Macaca mulatta: one gene and its partners. The protein of the gene in region 1 purifies or fractionates together with the protein of each later gene. This does not show direct contact. Links are inferred from orthologs where the notes say so. Each region holds a gene or a part of one and is shown in the gene's direction. Other genes may lie near its edges.

Evidence for each region.
Region 2: the proteins of GEMIN5 (region 1) and DDX20 purify together in Homo sapiens (affinity purification with western blotting; 6 studies listed by BioGRID and IntAct, counting the BioPlex papers as one, with this or other methods). This does not show direct contact. The link is inferred for Macaca mulatta from reciprocal best matches to the Homo sapiens genes GEMIN5 and DDX20.
Region 3: the proteins of GEMIN5 (region 1) and SNRNP70 purify together in Homo sapiens (affinity purification with mass spectrometry; 4 studies listed by BioGRID and IntAct, counting the BioPlex papers as one, with this or other methods). This does not show direct contact. The link is inferred for Macaca mulatta from reciprocal best matches to the Homo sapiens genes GEMIN5 and SNRNP70.

Annotation. Positions count from the first base shown.
Region 1 is NC_133411.1:163,755,191-163,759,978, reverse strand, and holds the end of GEMIN5 (gem-associated protein 5), read left to right. Parts: intron 1-1,756; coding exon 1,757-1,853; intron 1,854-2,455; coding exon 2,456-2,623; 3' UTR 2,624-3,263; downstream 3,264-4,788. UniProt on the Homo sapiens protein: The SMN complex catalyzes the assembly of small nuclear ribonucleoproteins (snRNPs), the building blocks of the spliceosome, and thereby plays an important role in the splicing of cellular pre-mRNAs.
Region 2 is NC_133406.1:128,480,521-128,486,957, reverse strand, and holds the start of DDX20 (putative ATP-dependent RNA helicase DDX20), read left to right. Parts: upstream 1-2,397; 5' UTR 2,398-2,419; coding exon 2,420-2,720; intron 2,721-3,145; coding exon 3,146-3,240; intron 3,241-6,217; coding exon 6,218-6,386; intron 6,387-6,437.
Region 3 is NC_133424.1:61,537,673-61,543,333, forward strand, and holds part of SNRNP70 (U1 small nuclear ribonucleoprotein 70 kDa), read left to right. Parts: intron 1-1,985; coding exon 1,986-2,048; intron 2,049-2,160; coding exon 2,161-2,215; intron 2,216-2,787; exon of another isoform or gene 2,788-3,846; intron 3,847-5,387; exon of another isoform or gene 5,388-5,661. UniProt on the Homo sapiens protein: Component of the spliceosomal U1 snRNP, which is essential for recognition of the pre-mRNA 5' splice-site and the subsequent assembly of the spliceosome. SNRNP70 binds to the loop I region of U1-snRNA.

The DNA of each region.
Region 1 (4,788 bases):
GGCTCGTGCCTATAATCCCAGCACTTTGGGAGGCTGAAGCAGGAGGATCACTTGGCCCAGGAGTTTACCACCAGCCTGGGCAACAAAGTGAGACCCTGTCTCTACAAAAAAAAAAAAAAAAAAAAAAAGGCCAGGCACAGTGGATCACGCTTGTAATTCCAGCACTTTGGGAGGCTGAGGTGGGCGGATCACTTGAGGTCAGGAGTTTGAGACCAGCCTGGCCAACATGATGAACCCCATCTCTACTAAAAATACAAAAATTAGCCAGGTATGGTGGCACATGCCTGTAATCCCAGCTACTTGGGGAGCTGAGGCCAGAGAATCACTTGAACCTGGGCTGCAGAGGTTGCAGTGAGCCAAATTCACACCAATGCACTCCAACCTGGGCATCAGAGGGAGACTTCATCTCAAAAAGTACAAATAAAATAACCAGGTGTGGTAGCATATACCCTGTAGGTACTTAGGAGGCTGAGGCAGGAGGATCACTTGAGACCAGGAACTCAGGTTCAGCCTGGGCAACATATTGAGACCCTGTCTCTAGAAAAATTAATTTTTTAAAATTAGCCAGTTGTGGTGGCATGCACTTGTAGTCCTGGCTACTCAGGAGGCTGAGGTGGGAGGATCACTTAAGCCCAGGAGTTCGAGGCTGTAGTGAGATACGATTGTGCCACTCACATCAGCCTGGTTGACCCTGTCTCTACAAAAAAAAATTAAATTTTAAGAAGCCAGGTGACAAAGGAATTTTATTTATAAAATGAGATAAAAGTTACCCAGGCAGTGGCACATGTTCTCAGGACCTCCTGGGGGCTGTGTCATGGGCAAAAGTTTAAATTTTAAGAAAATTTAAAAAATAAAAGATAAAAGTTACCCAGGCATAACAAAAGATAATCCTGTTCAAGGATGGGCAAAGGGCTTGAATAGATATTTCTCTAAAAAGCCAGTAAGCACAGGAAATGATGCTCAATATCTGATCATTAGGGAATTGCAAATCAAAACTACAGTGAAGTAGCACTTCATAGCCATTAGGCTACTACCAGAGAAACAGAACAAGTGTTGGGGAGGATGCAGAGACCTTGGAATCCTTGTGCCTGTGGGTGGAAATGTAAAATGATGCAGCCACTGTGGAAAACAGTATAGCAGCAGTTCCTCCAGAAATGTAAAATAGAATGACCATAGGATCCAGCACTTCCACATCTGGGTATATACCCAAAAAAATTGAAAGCAGAGTCTGAAATATGTGCACACACCTGTGTTCATAGCAGCATTATTCGTAATACCCAAAACATGGGAGCAACCTAAGTATCCACTGACAGATGAATGGATAAGCAAAATGTGCCATATCTATATGATGGAATGTCATTCAGCCTTACAAAGGAAGGTCGTTATGCTGAGTGAAATAAGCCAGTCACGAAAAGACACACACTGTATGACTCCACTTATATGAGGTACTCAAAATAGTTAAAATCACAGAGACAGAAAGTAGAATGATATTGATAGGGGCTAAGAGAAGCAGAATGAGAAGTTACTGTTTAATGGGTATAAAATTTCAGTTTTACAAAACGACAAGAGTTTTGGAAATGGGTGGTGGGGATGTTTTTCACATTATGAATGTATTTAAAACCACTGAACTATATATGTTTAAATGGCTAAAATGGTAAGCTTTATGTTATATACATTTTACCACAGTAAAATCAATGGGAGAAAAATGTTACCCAGGGCAAGACATACAACTTACACCTTTTATTTTTTTCACTAGTAAAGAAGAAAAAAATGAGCCACTTTCTCTGCCTGAATTAACCAAAAGGCTTACAGAGGCAAATGAGAGAATGGCGAAATTTCCTGAGAGCATTAAGGTAAGAGTTAAAGCAGTTCATTTGGTAAAGCATCACTTTTTGTGTTATCACTTGACTATACCACGTTCTTATAGGTCAGCTACCTCTCTGTTCAGTTTCTAAAATCTCTACCCATTCATATGAGCTTAAGAATTTAGAATCCAATTACTTTGGTTAGCTAGGATGTTTTGTGAGAATAGAATTATTGATCACACAAGTAATTTTATACCTCAGTCTTCAGAGAAACTAAATAAATGTAATAGGTAAGAAGTAAAATTTAGATTGGTGCCATGTATTAGACAGCTTACAGATGGACAGGTCTTTTTGGCTGTGGGCCCAAATAGTAATAGAAGCACCATTTTTAAGGGTTGATTTGCATAGTGCTGTAGAAAGAGATTGTGCCATTGAGAAGGACATCCCAGCAACCATCCCAGTTTTCAGTGTCATTTCTCCTTGGAGTAACCGTTGAAGAGAAAGACAGGACATTGCCTTAGGAGAGAGCTGGATCAGCTGTGTCCAAGAAATGTCTATAGATGAACCTGATTCACTGGTGCCTTCTGTGAAGGTGTTTGTGGCTCCTTTGCAAATGCTTCCTTATTCATCCTCATGTCATCATCTTTCAGGCCTGGCCCTTCCCAGATGTGCTGGAGTGCTGCCTCGTCCTGCTTCTCATCAGGTCCCACTTTCCTGGGTGTCTGGCCCAGGAAATGCAGCAGCAGGCCCTAGAGCTTCTTCAGAAATACGGCAACACGAAAACTTACAAAAGACACTGCCAGACCTTCTGCACGTGAATTTTTACACACCTTGAAGAAACTGCCAAATTGAAAATGTTTGACACCTTTCACCTCTGCAGTTCCACCTCACCAGACATTCACTCTGGTCCCTAGCTGTTTTTGCAGTAATCCAAATGAATACAAACGAGGATTAAGTTTGAATCAACCCTGCCTACCCACAGACACAGTGGATCTGACTTTAGACTCAATTGTGGTCTCCTGCTGGAGGGAAGATCATGTAAAGCCCGCAGTAGTTATTCAGAACTAATACCTGCAGAGTGTTGGTCATCTCTACAGCCTTAGGCAGGTTTCATCCAAAGAGGAGAAACTTCTGTCATCACCCAAAGTGTTACATGCTTAAAACACAAGCTACCTTTATAAATACTTCATCTGATCAGAAATGTGTCATGCTTGTTTGAGATGGAGTTGCTGCATTTTAGGACTATTGATACTTTTTTAAAATTGTTTTTATAATATTTAATTTGAAAGCGGAGACCCTTCTCTGTCTTCTCTTTCATAGATTGAAGTTTGAATTTGAAATAGGCCTTAACCATCATGTTGACTCTCCTGTCAGAATTTTAGGTTGGAAATTTGGTTTTATTCTTTTATGTAATTGCTTATTTGAACAGATCATTTACTAAAGCTTTAGAAGAAGTGATTCAAATGTGTGTTTTCCCTTCAGTTTTATAACAGATGGATCGATGGCAGTCAAATAGCTCAGGAATAAATTACTGTTCCAATGGTTTTTAAACTTTCTTGGATTATAGGATCCTTTTGAGAATCAGATTAAAGCCAGAGATACTCTTTGGAGAAAAATGCATGTTCCTAATTTTGCATAGATGACCTTTGGATTTTTGGACTCTGACAGTTGGGACCCTAAATACTATTTAATTGTAAATCTTTTTTTTTTCTCCTCCTTGGTTATTTAAACAGTTGAACAGTGTCAGGAACAGATGTTTCGGTAATGTCACAGTTGCTAGGATGGGAAAATCACAGTCTGGCATGCGTGTGGGAAGGAATACGCCTTTCACATAATTGAACTGTTTTATCTAGGATTCATTGTGAAGGCTGTTCTGCTCACGTTTGTAGTTTATTTTTCAGTTAATTCCTAGGATTGGGATTGGGACAGTAAGAATGAAATTCATTTACAGGGAGTCCCAGGAAGGAAAATGTTTAAGGCAGTTTTCAAAGATGTGTATGTGCCTAGCATTAGCGTTTAATAAACTCTACAAAGGGAAATACTGTAGAATTTAGATCCTCACAGTTCATACAGTTAAGTGAACTTTAGGAAGATGATGCTTTCTTACTAGAGATGGAGAATCTTTCTTGATTGAAAAGATATAAATAGGCATGGCTAGGTGGAAAACTGGACACCAGTTCTACAAACTGCTAAAATGAACTTTGCTTACAGAGGTGGAAAAAATATATAGTCCATTCCACTTGAGTAAAGAGTGATATTGTTAAACTAGAATTCTAAATTCATTTGTGATCTGTCGGAAGCATCACCTGTGGCTAGAAGGGTCCTGCTCACTCCTCAGTTACTGCTTTGGTAAGAACAAGATTTACTATTTGAGTCCGGGCGGGGTGGCTCATGCCTGTAATCCCAACACTTTGAGAGGCCAAGGCAAGTGAATCACTTGAGGACCGGAGTTTGAGACCAACTGGGCAGTATATATGGAGGCAGTATATATTTGAGACGAACATTTGGTAGTATATATGGAGGGACTGAATTGCACTCAGTTGCCTGGTGCTATGGTGCAAACCTATACTCTAGATACTATGGAGGTTGAGGCGGGAGGATTGCTTGAAGCCAGGAGTTCAGGGCCAGCCTGGGCAACATAGCAAACTCCCATCTCTATAAGTAATAAATAAAATTTTTAAAATGAATTATGGCCAGGCACAGTGGCTCATACCTGTAATCCTAGCAGTTTGGGAGGCCAAGGCAGGCAGATCACCTGAGGTCAGGAGTTCAAAACCAGCCTGGCCAACATGGAGAAACCCCATCTCTACTAAAAATACAAAAATTAGCTGGGCATGGTGGCACATGTCTGTAATCCCAGTGTTGGAAATAAGAGCTTGGAGTCTCAAAGAAAACGGGCACTCAAAAGACTTCTCAGCAAGGCAAATTTACTTCTGCAGAAGGGTGCTGCCTGCACCAGTCACAATCACAAGAGCACACTGAA
Region 2 (6,437 bases), on another chromosome or scaffold:
AGTGTGAGGCACATACAAGTAACCAAGCAAATAAAACATAAGAGCCAGACTGGAATTATTGATAGTGTGCTGTGGGACCCTGGGGTGGGGAATAAAAAAGGGTGTCAAAAGGAGCAGGATCTGGTGCTGGACCCAAAGAGCCTAAGATATCCACTTAAGAAAGATCACTGGCCGGGCGCGGTGGCTCAAGCCTGTAATCCCAGCACTTTGGGAGGCCGAGGCGGGCGGATCACGAGGTCAGGAGATCGAGACCATCCTGGCTAACACGGTGAAACCCTGTCTCTACTAAAAAATACAAAAAACTAGCCGGGCGAGATGGCGGGCACCTGTAGTCCCAACTAATCGGGAGGCTGAGGCAGGAGAATGGCATGAATCTGGGAGGCGGAGCTTGCAATGAGCTGAGATCTGGCCACTGCACTCTAGCCTGGGCGACAGAGCGAGACTCCGTCTCAAAAAAAAAAAAAAAAAAAAAAAAAAAAAGAAAGAAAGATCACTGCAGCACCTGTGGGGTACACGGCTGGGATAGAGAAGAAACTCTGGCCAGGCAGACCATTCAGGAGGTTTTTGCAAATTAGGATGATACAGGGACCTAAAATAGGGCAGATGCTATGGAGACTTAAGAAGAATGGATGAAATATTTGGAGGCAAAATTACTTGTGCTCGGTAAATTGTTAGAAAGTGGGGAAGGAGTCAAGAATAATTCCCAAGTTTGGGGTCTGGGGATTAGGCAGATAAAAGAGGTGAGGGCACTAAGAGGAAGGCTGGGACCTTTAGTGCCATCTCCTCCATCAGTCTCCATTCCTTCAAACGGATAGTTGACATTTTCTCAATGTTTTGTAAATTTCCAGGCAATATAAACCGTCAGGACCACCTTCCAATGGGATTACCATGTCAAAGCCCCTCCTCTATCATAGGGAATCTGGACCATCACTGTGTGTGTGTGTGTGAAGGGGTTAGGGACAATGACCAGTATTATAATCTATGGACAAAGTTGGGCTTGGTTGCAGAATATATTTAAGTTTGGTATTCTTCGTATTTTAAAAAATTTGTTTACTTTTTAAGAATTTGAGACAGGGTCTCTGCATGTTGCCCAGGCTGGCAACTCCTGGCCTCAAGCGATCCTCCCGTCTCAGCCTCCCAAGAAGCTGGGATTACAGGTGCGAGCCACCCCATACAGCTAAGTTTGGAATAATGAATATGGCTGAGGTCCAGAAATATTTAAATTTGGCATGATGACTAAGAGTTTGTTATAGGAGCTCAATCATTTGATAAATATTGAACAATTCCTATGTGTCAGATTGCTTTTCCCACTAGGGATGCAGAGGAGAACAAGACAAAATGGGTCCTTGTCCTCATAGAGTGTGGGAGACAGGCAGTAGACATATAATTTCAGGTAGTTGTAAGTATCATAAAGAAAAAATAAAGCAAAACAAAACAAGAGAGTGCTGGGAAAGACCAGGGAGCAGACAGGATGACAGAGCTGTCTTAGGGTGTTCAAGACTTCTTTTAAAAGGCAGAGCTCTTTGAAAAGGTGATATTTGGGCAGAAGTCCACAGCAAGGAAAAGTGGCAGAGACTCCTAGCCGCCTACGCATGAAATGATGGGGAAAGGAGCAATACAGAAGGCATGTAACATTTCAGAGTCTATTAGGCATCCGAGGGGAGGTGCTGCGGAGGTGGATGCATGGAGGCAGATGGATGTACACGTCTAGAGTCTAAAGGGAGATCTGAGGCGGAGATATGAACTTGGGAAATGTCAGTCCGGTTCCAGGTTCCAATTCAACGTACTTTTATCAGAGTTCACTGTGCGCCAGGGACTTGCTAGGGGCTGAAGGTCCGGAGATAAATTGGGTTGCACAGCAGACGGACACACCAGTCAACGTAGTAAACCCTTGGGCCCGGCTACGCTCTGGGCGCACTCTGCCAGCACAGAGGAGCAGCGACTCAGGGTGCAGAGCGGGTAGCGCTGGGGAAGAGGCGGCCGCGGAACGGGACAGGCTGGCGGAACGGAAAACGGAAGCACGGGGCGGGGGCGTGACGCAACGGGCACATCACAAAGAGCGCCGAGAGGGCGGTGGCGCCGGGGGCACGGCTTGGCGGCTCCGCCCAGAAGAGGGCCGAGAGGCGGGGCGGCGCCCCCACCGCGGGCCCGCGGCGCCCTCTGCAGGCCCCAGGCAGCGACTTAACAGTTGCCTCATCTTTCCTCTCCTCCCTCATGCTGCTTTCCTCAGGCCACATTTTTTGTGTGTGTGGGTAGTGTTCCCTAGTCTCTCAGCCTCCGACTCCCGTCCCTTTCCTCCACTTCCAAGCCAGGCGTGTTAGTGTCTTCGTGGGAAAACTGCCAATAAAGTTTTTCCTTTTCTCGCTCCCAGGATCCCCGCTTCTCTTCAAGCACCGCGAGATCTGACTGTGCGGCTAGCATGGCGGCGGCGTTTGAAGCCCTGGGAGCCGTAGCGGCAGTGGCTACTGCTATGCCAGCTGAGCATGTGGCCGTGCACGTCCCGGCCCCAGAGCCAACACCTGGGCCTATGAGGAGCCTGCGGACCGCTCAGGATCTCGGCAGCCCGCGGACCCGCACGGGGGACGTGCTGTTGGCGGAGCCGGCCGACTTCGAGTCACTGCTGCTTTCGCGGTCGGTGCTGGAGGGGCTGCGGGCAGCCGGCTTCGAGAGGCCCTCGCCGGTGCAGCTCAAGGCCATCCCGCTGGGGCGCTGCGGGCTCGGTGAGAGCGGGGGCCCGGGAGAGTTCGGGGGTCGGGGCGGGAGAAGGGCGACTGAGGGGCGGCAGCGGCAGCCAGGCCCGCACTGCAGCTCGGGGAGAGCCCTCGGTCGGCTCCCGGAGCAGGGCCCGGCCTGGGGCTAGGCGGTACGCTCAGTTAACTTATTTGTAAAACTAAGGTGCACTATTGAACTTGAAGATGGTTAAGACCTTTTTTAGCACTGACAGGTGGTTCTAAGTTTGAGAAGATAAACGGTAAAAGGTCAGGGACTAGGCGTTTTCTCTTACGTTTTTGAGAATCAACTAAAAATGAAGGTGCCAACTGGGAGAATCTCAGAGACCCTTCTAGTTCTCTGATTCCATGCGAGCCCCTAAGCTGCTTCCGTGAGTACTGGCTAGTGATAATTTTTTTTTTTTTTTCCTTCGCAGATTTAATTGTTCAAGCTAAATCTGGCACTGGGAAAACCTGTGTGTTTTCCACCATAGCTTTGGACTCTCTTGTTCTTGAAAACTTAAGTACCCAGGTGAGTTAGCTCAGAGGACCAGAGGAGGATGTGTTACGTGGACTTTACCACAGGTCAGATGAAATACCAGTAGCCCCTCAGAGCTGGAATTGAATTTGATGAATGATTGAGTTAAGTGGTGGTGGTGGTGAACTTTGGAATTTTCTATGCGTACCTTATTTAAATAGAATAAAGCTACCATACGTGTCAGTTTTCTCACTACTTGGTAATACAGACAGGGATTCTTTTACTTACTGACTAATGTGATACTTAACATTTGACTTGATTCATGGTAATGTAGTGCTCTGGCTATTGCTGATAACTGCAGGGTTTGTTTTTGTTTTTTGAGAGGGTATGGCTCTGTCACCTAGGCTGGAGTGCAGTGGCGGATCATTGCTCACTGCAACCTTGAACTCCTGGGCTCCAGTGATCCTCCCACCTCATCTTCCTAAGTAGTTGAGACGACAGGTGTGTGCCACCACACCTGGCTACTTTTTGTAGAGATGGGGTCTCCTCAGTGTTGCACAGACCGGCCTCGAACTCCTGGGTTCAAGCAGTCCTCCCACATTTGCCTCCCAAAGTACTGGGATTATAGGCATGAGCCACCACACCCGGTATGCAGGTGGTTCTTAAAGCTCTGTAAATGTATCATATTCATCTCCCATCTTCTAGGTTGTCTTAGAGTGTTTCTAAGATTACCCTACCCAAATTAGCAGGAAATTTGGGTTTGGGGATCATTTCTTCAACAAAGATTTGTTGAGCCCATATTACGTATGAACAGTATGTCAGGCATTGGAGATTCAAAGATGAATTAGATGTGATTCTCATAACCTTACTTTGTAGTTTAGTTGTTATGGCAGACTGTATTTCAAGTTCTCAGGCATTGGTATATCTGATGATGAGTCTTCAACAGTGGTTTTTAATCCAGATATCCATGTTCATCACCTGGGAAGCTTTTTGAGTCCATCTTATATCTGCCAAATCCTAGGTGATGTTGCATATTGGAAATCCTCCTACTTCCCAAGAACCTGAGCTAGTCTAATTGTAGACGAAGATGTATTTGAGGTTTTGGCTTCTGATAATTTGGCAACAGATAAAATGCTAAAATCCTGGAAAAGTTTCATAAATTCGTTTTTTTGAGTCTCACTCTGTTGCCCAGGCTGGATTGTGCAGTGGCACAATCTTGGCTCACTGCAACTTCTGCCTCCTGGGTTCAAGTGATTCTCCTGCCTCAGCCTCCCGAGTAGCTGGGATTACAACTGTGCATACCACATGCCCGGCTAGTTTTTTTGTAATTTTGGTAGAGACGGGGTTTCGCCATGTTAGCCAGGCTGGTCTCAAACTCCTGACCTCAGGTAATCCGCCTGCCTCAGCCTCCCAACCTGCTGGGATCACAGGGGTGAGCCACCATGCCTGGCAAATTCATATTTTTAATTTCAGATCTTTGGATTATCACAGTTACATTATTTTTTGTGTGTGTAACAAAGTAATACCTATTAATTTTTAGAAATAGGGAAAGTTCAGGAAAATTAGGAAGTACCAGAAAACAAGATCTGTAATTTCACTACCTAGAGAGAAACTGCTATTAACAGTTTTGGCATATTTTCTCCTAGTCCTTTTTTTTTTTTAATCAATTTTTTCTTCTCGTAGTTAAGAGCACAAAAGTTTTGTTTTCTCCTTCTCCAGTAGCTACATTGCAAAGTTTTTACCGTGGCTCTCAAGGCCTTTTGTGATCTAGTCCCTGGAGCTAGATCTCTGACCTCCTTTACTTTCCCCCAGATTCTGTCATGTAGGCCTTCTTTTTCTTCCTCAAACACACCAAGAACACTGCCATCTTATGGCCTTTGCATTTGTTGTTTCCTGTTGGTGAAAACGCTTCCCCAGGTGTCATATAGCCAGCTCTACTCTATGCCGTACATGTAGGTCTCTGCTCAAGTGTTACCTCCTTAGAGGAGGGTTCATGATCACCTCATTTAAAATGACTCCTTCGAAACCATCATTCTTAGCAAACTATCACAAGAACAGAAAACCAAACACCGCATGTTCTCACTCATAGGTGGGAACTGAACAATGAGATCACTTGGACCCGGGAAGGGGAACATCACACACCGGGGCCTATCATGGGGAGGGGGGAGGGGGGAGGGATTGCATTGGGAGTTATACCTGATGTAAATGACGAGTTGATGGGTGCTGACGAGTTGATGGGTGCAGCACAGCAACATGGCACAAGTATACATATGTAACAAACCTGCACGTTATGCACATGTATCCTAGAACTTAAAGTATAATAATTAAAAAAAGTAAATAAAAATAAAATAAAATAAAATGACTCCTTCTTTCCCTGTTTGATTTTTTATGATACTTTTCATTACCTGTCATTACTTATTTTTGTTTATTGTATATATTCTTATCCAAGAATGAAAGTACTGTGAGGGCAAAGACTTTACACTGTTAACTGTTGATTCCCCAGAAACTAGTATGTTGCCTAGCACAGAGTAGGTTCTTACTTAATATTTGTTGAATGAATGAATAAATGGAATACAGTCAGCCCTCCCTGTCTTCAGGTTGTGTATCAGCTGATGCAGCCAACTGTGGATCAAAAATACTTAGGGGTGGGGTGGGGGAACTATAAAAAATAATACAACAATAAAAAGATATAAACAAAAATACAGAGTAACCATTTACATAGCATTTATACTGTATTAGGTAATATAAGTAATCTAGAGATGGTTTAAAATATGTGGCAGGATGTACATAGGTAACATACAGATATATGCAGTTTTATATAACAGACTTGAGCATCTGCCAGTTTTGGTGTCTGAGGGCTTCCTGGAACCAATCCCCTGTGGATACCAAGGGATAACTGTATCTTACCTTATCAATAAAAACTCGTTTGAAATGATCATTTAAATGAAATATAGTGTGTCATGTAATGAATATACCAGTCCCCTATGTATTTATTTCTCTGACTCAAAAGTATACTTTGTTTTTTTTTTAGATTTTGATCTTGGCCCCTACAAGAGAAATTGCTGTACAGATACATTCTGTTATTACAGCCATTGGAATCAAAATGGAAGGCTTAGAGTGTCATGTCTTTATTGGAGGGACCCCATTATCACAAGACAAAACCAGACTTAAAAAGTGTCATATTGCTGTTGGATCTCCTGGTAAGATAACAATGCCTGTTGGTAACCAGGGCTTTTAAGGAACTATACACT
Region 3 (5,661 bases), on another chromosome or scaffold:
CGTGGTCTCCATCTCCTGACCTTGTGATCCGCCCGCCTCGGCCTCCCAAAGTGCTGGGATTACAGGCGTGAGCCACCGCGCCCGGCCACTAGTTATTTATTTATGAGACAGTTTTGCTCTGTTGCCCAGGCTAGAGTGCAGTGGCGTGATTTTAGCTCACTGCAACCTCTGATTCAAGCAGTTCTCCTGCCTCAGCCTCTCAAGTAGCTGGGGGTACAGGGATGCGCCACCACGCCTGGCTAGTTTTGTATTTTTAGTAGAGATGGGGTTTCACCATTTTGGCCAGGCTGGTTTCGAACTCCTAGCCTCAGGTGATCCACCCCCCTTGGCCTCCCAGAGTGCTGGGATTACAGGTGTGAGCCACCATGCCTGGTAGCCAGGTACTTTTTTTTTTTCTTTTGAGACGGAGTATCGCTCTGTTGCCCAGGCTGTAGTGCAGTGGCACGATCTTGGCTCACTGCAACCTCTGCCTCCTGGGGTTCCAGGGATTCTCCTGCCTCAGCCTCCTGGGTAGCTGGGATTACAGGCATGCGCTACCATGCCTGGCTAATTTTTGTATTTTTTGTAAAGGGGGTTTCACCATGTTGGTCGGGATGGTCTCAAACTCCTAACCTTGTGATCTGCCTGCCTCGGCCTCCCAAAGTGTTGGGATTACAGGCGTGAGCCACCGCACCCCACCAGCCAGTTCCTATTTAATGTGTAGTTGGTGAGACCTTGAAGAACTGCCTTGGCCCTCAGAGGGTGTGCAGTTGTGGGCTTTGGAGCCCTGTTCTGTCAGCTCATGTTGTTTCAGGCCTGGTCCTCTTCACTGGCACTCATCAGCAGGGCCTTGTCATCACTCATTCCCATCACATCCTCTGGCAGTTTGTTCAATGCAAGTGATACTTGGAGCTGTGAGAAGCAATGTGTTTTCTAAACACTGTATTCTTAAGCTAGATGTCACCCGTACCAGTGCTTTTTAAACTGTTTTTGGTGAAGGATAGATACTATTTCCAATCTGTTTGCTTTTGGTATATATGATAGAATTACTTTTTAAAGAAAGACCTCAGACAGGGGTTCGAGACCAGCCAGGCCAACATGGTGAAACCCCCATCTCTACTAAAAATGCAAAAACTAGCCAACATGCTGTCGTGTGCGTGTAAGCCAAGGTACTCAGGAGGCTTAGGCAGGAGAACCGCTTGAAGGATTCTAGTCGGTTCCTGGGTTCCTTTTAGAGACACAGAAACACAGAGGGGAAAGTGGGGTTTAGAATCGCTTGAACCCGGGAAGCAGAGGTTGCAGTGAGCTCAGATCGCACCATTGCACTCCAGTCTGGGCAGCAGAGCACGACTTCGTCTCAAAAAAAAAAAAAAAAAGACCTGCAGAATAAAAGACCAAATTTATATTACAGTCAGTGGACATCAAACTGTGAAATTACTGTAGAAGTTTCTGAACACTTACTCATGGTTTCTGTACTTACCTGTACTTATCACAGTCCAGCAACAGTTTGGATAGTACTGGTCCATGGACCATGCTTAGTTTTTGAGACAGGGTCTTATTCTGTCACCCAGGCTGGAGTGCAGTGTCACAATCATGGCTCACGGCAGCCTTAACCTCTGGTGCCCAAAAGATTCTTCCCCCCTCAGCCTCCCTAGTAGCTGGGACTATAGGTGTGTGCCATTACACCTGGCTAATTTTTAAATTTTTTGTAGAGATGGTGTTTCACTGTTTCCCAGGCTAGTCTGAAACCCCTAGGCTCAAGCATTCTTCCTGTGTCGTCCTCCCAAAGTGCTGGGATTACAAGTGGAAAGCCACTGTGCGTGGCTGCAGACCATGCTTTGATCTGTGCCACTCCCCTCCCTGCACTGTGACAGGGGAAGTGTGAGTGGATGTTTATTTTTGTAGGGGGTGGGGGTGGGAGGGTTGACCTGCTTATTTCTTTGGTGAGTGACCCTTGCCATTTCCCCTAGTCCTTCCCACCCTGTCACCTCTCTTCTTGTTCCCAGGACCCTCGAGATGCCCCGCCTCCAACTCGTGCAGAAACCCGAGAGGAGCGCATGGAGAGGAAAGTATGTCATTGTTGCTTCCTGACCCCCTGTTTTGCCACTGTTTCCAAATGGTCCTTGACACTAGGACACTTCTATCTGCATTTACTTCTCTACTTTCCCTTTCTCTTGACAGAGACGGGAAAAGATTGAGCGGCGACAGCAAGAAGTGGAGACAGAGCTTAAAATGTGTAAGTCTCTCATCCACCATTCGGCTCTCTCCTCCCCCAAACCCTCTGTGTTCTTCCCAGGTCATACCCAGGACCCTGCTGTCACCCAAAGCCTGTTTTGCAGGGAGCAGGGTTGTTAGTTCATTTATTTAGCCCCTGCCACTTGGCAAGCACTGTTTTTGGTTTAGGCTTTTCAGCAGCAGAACATAGGGTAAAAGTTGGCAGGAAGGGAGACCCCAGTACCTTGGGCTCCTCCTGCAGGGGAGGACAGTTAAGGGACTCCCACAACCTAGCTGGGAGTCACAGGCTGAGGCGATGAGTTGTGGGCGAGTGGATCTGTCCTGGCTCTAACGTTAGCTCCTCAACCCTTGGGCTGAGGTTGTTCCATCCCCTCCACATAGAGGAGGAATTGGAGTACAAGACAGATATATTGTTGCCATTAAGCAAACTCATAAGAGGGTCAGATGTCAACCTCCAGTGGCTCTTTATTGTGAGGGTGAAAACTGTACAGTCACACGCAGCATAACAGTGTTTCAGTCAGCAGGGGACTGTGGGTGTGATGGTGATCCTATAAGATTATACCATATTTTCCCGAGTGCAGTGGCTCACTTCTGTAATCCCAGCACTTTGGGAGACCGAGGCGGGTGGATCATGAGGTCGGGAGTTCAAGACCAGCCTGGCCAACATGGTGAAATCCTGTCTCTACTAAAAGTACAAAAATTAGCCGGGCGTGGTGGCGGGCTCCTGTAATCCCAGCTGCTTGGGAGACTGAGGCAGGAGAATCTCCGGAAGGCGGAGGTTGCAGTGAGCCGAGATCGCGTCCGCTCTCTGCAACCCAGCCTGGGCAACAAGACCGAAAATCCATCTAAAAAAAAAAAAATTATACCATATTTTTACTGTACCTTTTCTATGCTTAGATACGTTTAGATGCACAAATACTTAGTATTGTGTTAGGGTTGCTGTAGTATTTGGCGTAGTAACATGCTTGGCCTCGGAGCAGTGGGACGCACCCTCTAGCCCGGGAGTGTTGTGAGGTATACCATCTAGGCTCGCGGAAGTGCCGTCTCATGTTTGCATATCGATATCACCATCAAATGACGCACTTCTCAGAACATGACATGACTCTAGTGAGAAGACAGGTTTTCCTCCTATACCTGTGAACTTCAATGAATCCCTTTCCTCCAAATCCTGGAGTGCAGGGTTTCCTCAGGGTGCTTACACAGAAGTGTGACAGAGGCATCTGGTGGTGCACTCTTTGGACACTGGCTGTCAGAACGCTGCCTTGATGTCCTTCCTCAGATGCCTCAGAGGCATCTCAGAATCAGTGTCCAAACCACAGGGGTTTTCCCTTGCCGCCAACCTGGTTTCCTTTGGGTGTTTTCTCTGGGACGTAGACATTCAAGTGTGCTGGTCATGACCTCATTTTTTGCCATGCAATTTGTTTCTAACACCTTTTCTAATCCTTTGCTCAGTCTCTCACCAAGACCTATTTGTGTTACTTTCTAAGTGTCACAAACCTGACTCTTCTTTTTGTGTCTATCACCACCACCCAGGTCACCTCTTGCCTGGACAGCACAGTCACAGTCTGCTATAACTAGTTTACCTATGTCTTTTTTTTTTTTTTTGAGAGAGAGCCTCGCTCTGTCGCCAGGCTGCAGTGGCGCGATCTTGGCTCACCGCAGCCTCCGCCTCCCGGATTCAAGTGATTCTCCTGCCTCAGCCCCCCAAGTAGCTGGAACTACAGGCGTGTGTGTCACCACGCCCAACTAATTTTTGTATTTTTAGTAGAGACAGAGTTTCAGCATGTTGGCCAGGATCGTCTAGATCTCTTGACCTTGAGATCTGCCCGCCTAGGCCTCCCACAGTGCTGGGGTTACAGGCATGAGCCACTGTGCCTAGCCCTCCCTGCCATTTTTTTTTTTTTTTTTTTTTTTTTGAGACGGAGTCACACTCTCTCACCCGGGCTGGAGTGCAATGGTACTATCTTGGCTCACTGCAACCTCTACCTCCCGGGTTCAAGCAATTCTCCTGCCTCAGCCTCCTGAGCAGCTGGGACTATAGGTGTGCGCCACCATGCCCGGCTAATTTTTGTAATTTTAGTAGAGATGGAGTTTCACTGTATTGGCCAGGCTGGTCTCGAACTTCTGACCTTGTGATCCACCTGCCTCAACCTCCCAAGGTGCTGAGATTACAGGCGTGAGCCATTGCACCCAGCCTAGTTTATCTATGTCTTAACCAACCAAAATCCACTGTGGGTCTTTTTTTTTTTCCCTTTTCTAGAAAAACTTTAAAATTGAGATGGGATCTCACTATGGTGCCCAGGCTGGTCTTGAATTCCTGGGCTCAAGTGATCCTCCTGCCTCGGCCTCCCAAAGTGCTGGGATTACAGGTGTGAGCCACCATACCCAGCCAAAAATGTTCTTTGAAGCGATTCTTCTGCCTCCTGAGTAGCTGGGATTATAGGCATGCGCCACCATGCCTGGCTAATTTTGTATTTTTAGTAGAGATGGAGTTTCTCCATGTTGGTCAGGCTGTTTTTGAACTCCTGACCTCAGGTGATCCGCCCGCCTCAGCCTCCCAAAGTGTTGGGATTACAGGCGTGAGCCACCACACCCGGCCAGAAATGCTTTTTAAAAACAGTTCCGCCCGGGCATGGTGGCTTACGCCTGTAATCCTGCAAGGCAGATGGGTCACCTGAGGTCAGGAGTTCAAGACCAACCTGGCCAACATGGTGAAACCCTGTCTCTACCAAGAATACAAAAATTAGCTGGATGTGGTGGCATGCACCTGTAATCCCAGCCACCTAGGAGGCTGAGGCAGGACAATCGCTTGAACCTGGGAGGCGGAGGTTGCAGTGAGCCGAGATCACGCCATTGCACTCCAGCCTGGGTGACAGAGCAAGACTGCGTCTCAAAAAAAAAAAAAAAAGTTCCAGGCTGGGCACAGAGGCTCACGCCTATAATCGCAGCACCTTTGGGAGGCCGAGGCGGGCAGATCACCTGAGGTTAGGGGTTTGAGACCAGCCTGGCCAACATGGTGAAACCCTGTCTCTACTAAAAATATATATATATAAAAAACCAAACTAGCCAGGCGTTGTTGTGGGCTCCTGTAATCCCAGCTACTCGGGAGGCTGAGGCACGAGAATTGCTTGAACACGGGAGGCGGAGGTTGCAGTGAGCCGAGATCGCGCCACTGCACTCCAGCCTGGGCAATAAGAGCAAAACTCCATCTCAAAACAAACAAACAAACAAGTTCCAATTGAGGAATTTGGACACTGGATCATAGATGAGGTTAAGGAATTAGTAAATATTAGCTCTTTAAGATGTAATAGTGGCACTGTGGTTATGATGTTTAAAAGTCTTTATTAGAGACCAAAGTGGTGTGCTATCTTGAATTTCATTTAAAATAATTCAGCTGGTCGCGGTGGCTCACGCCTGTAATCACAGCACTCTGGGAGGCTGAGGTGG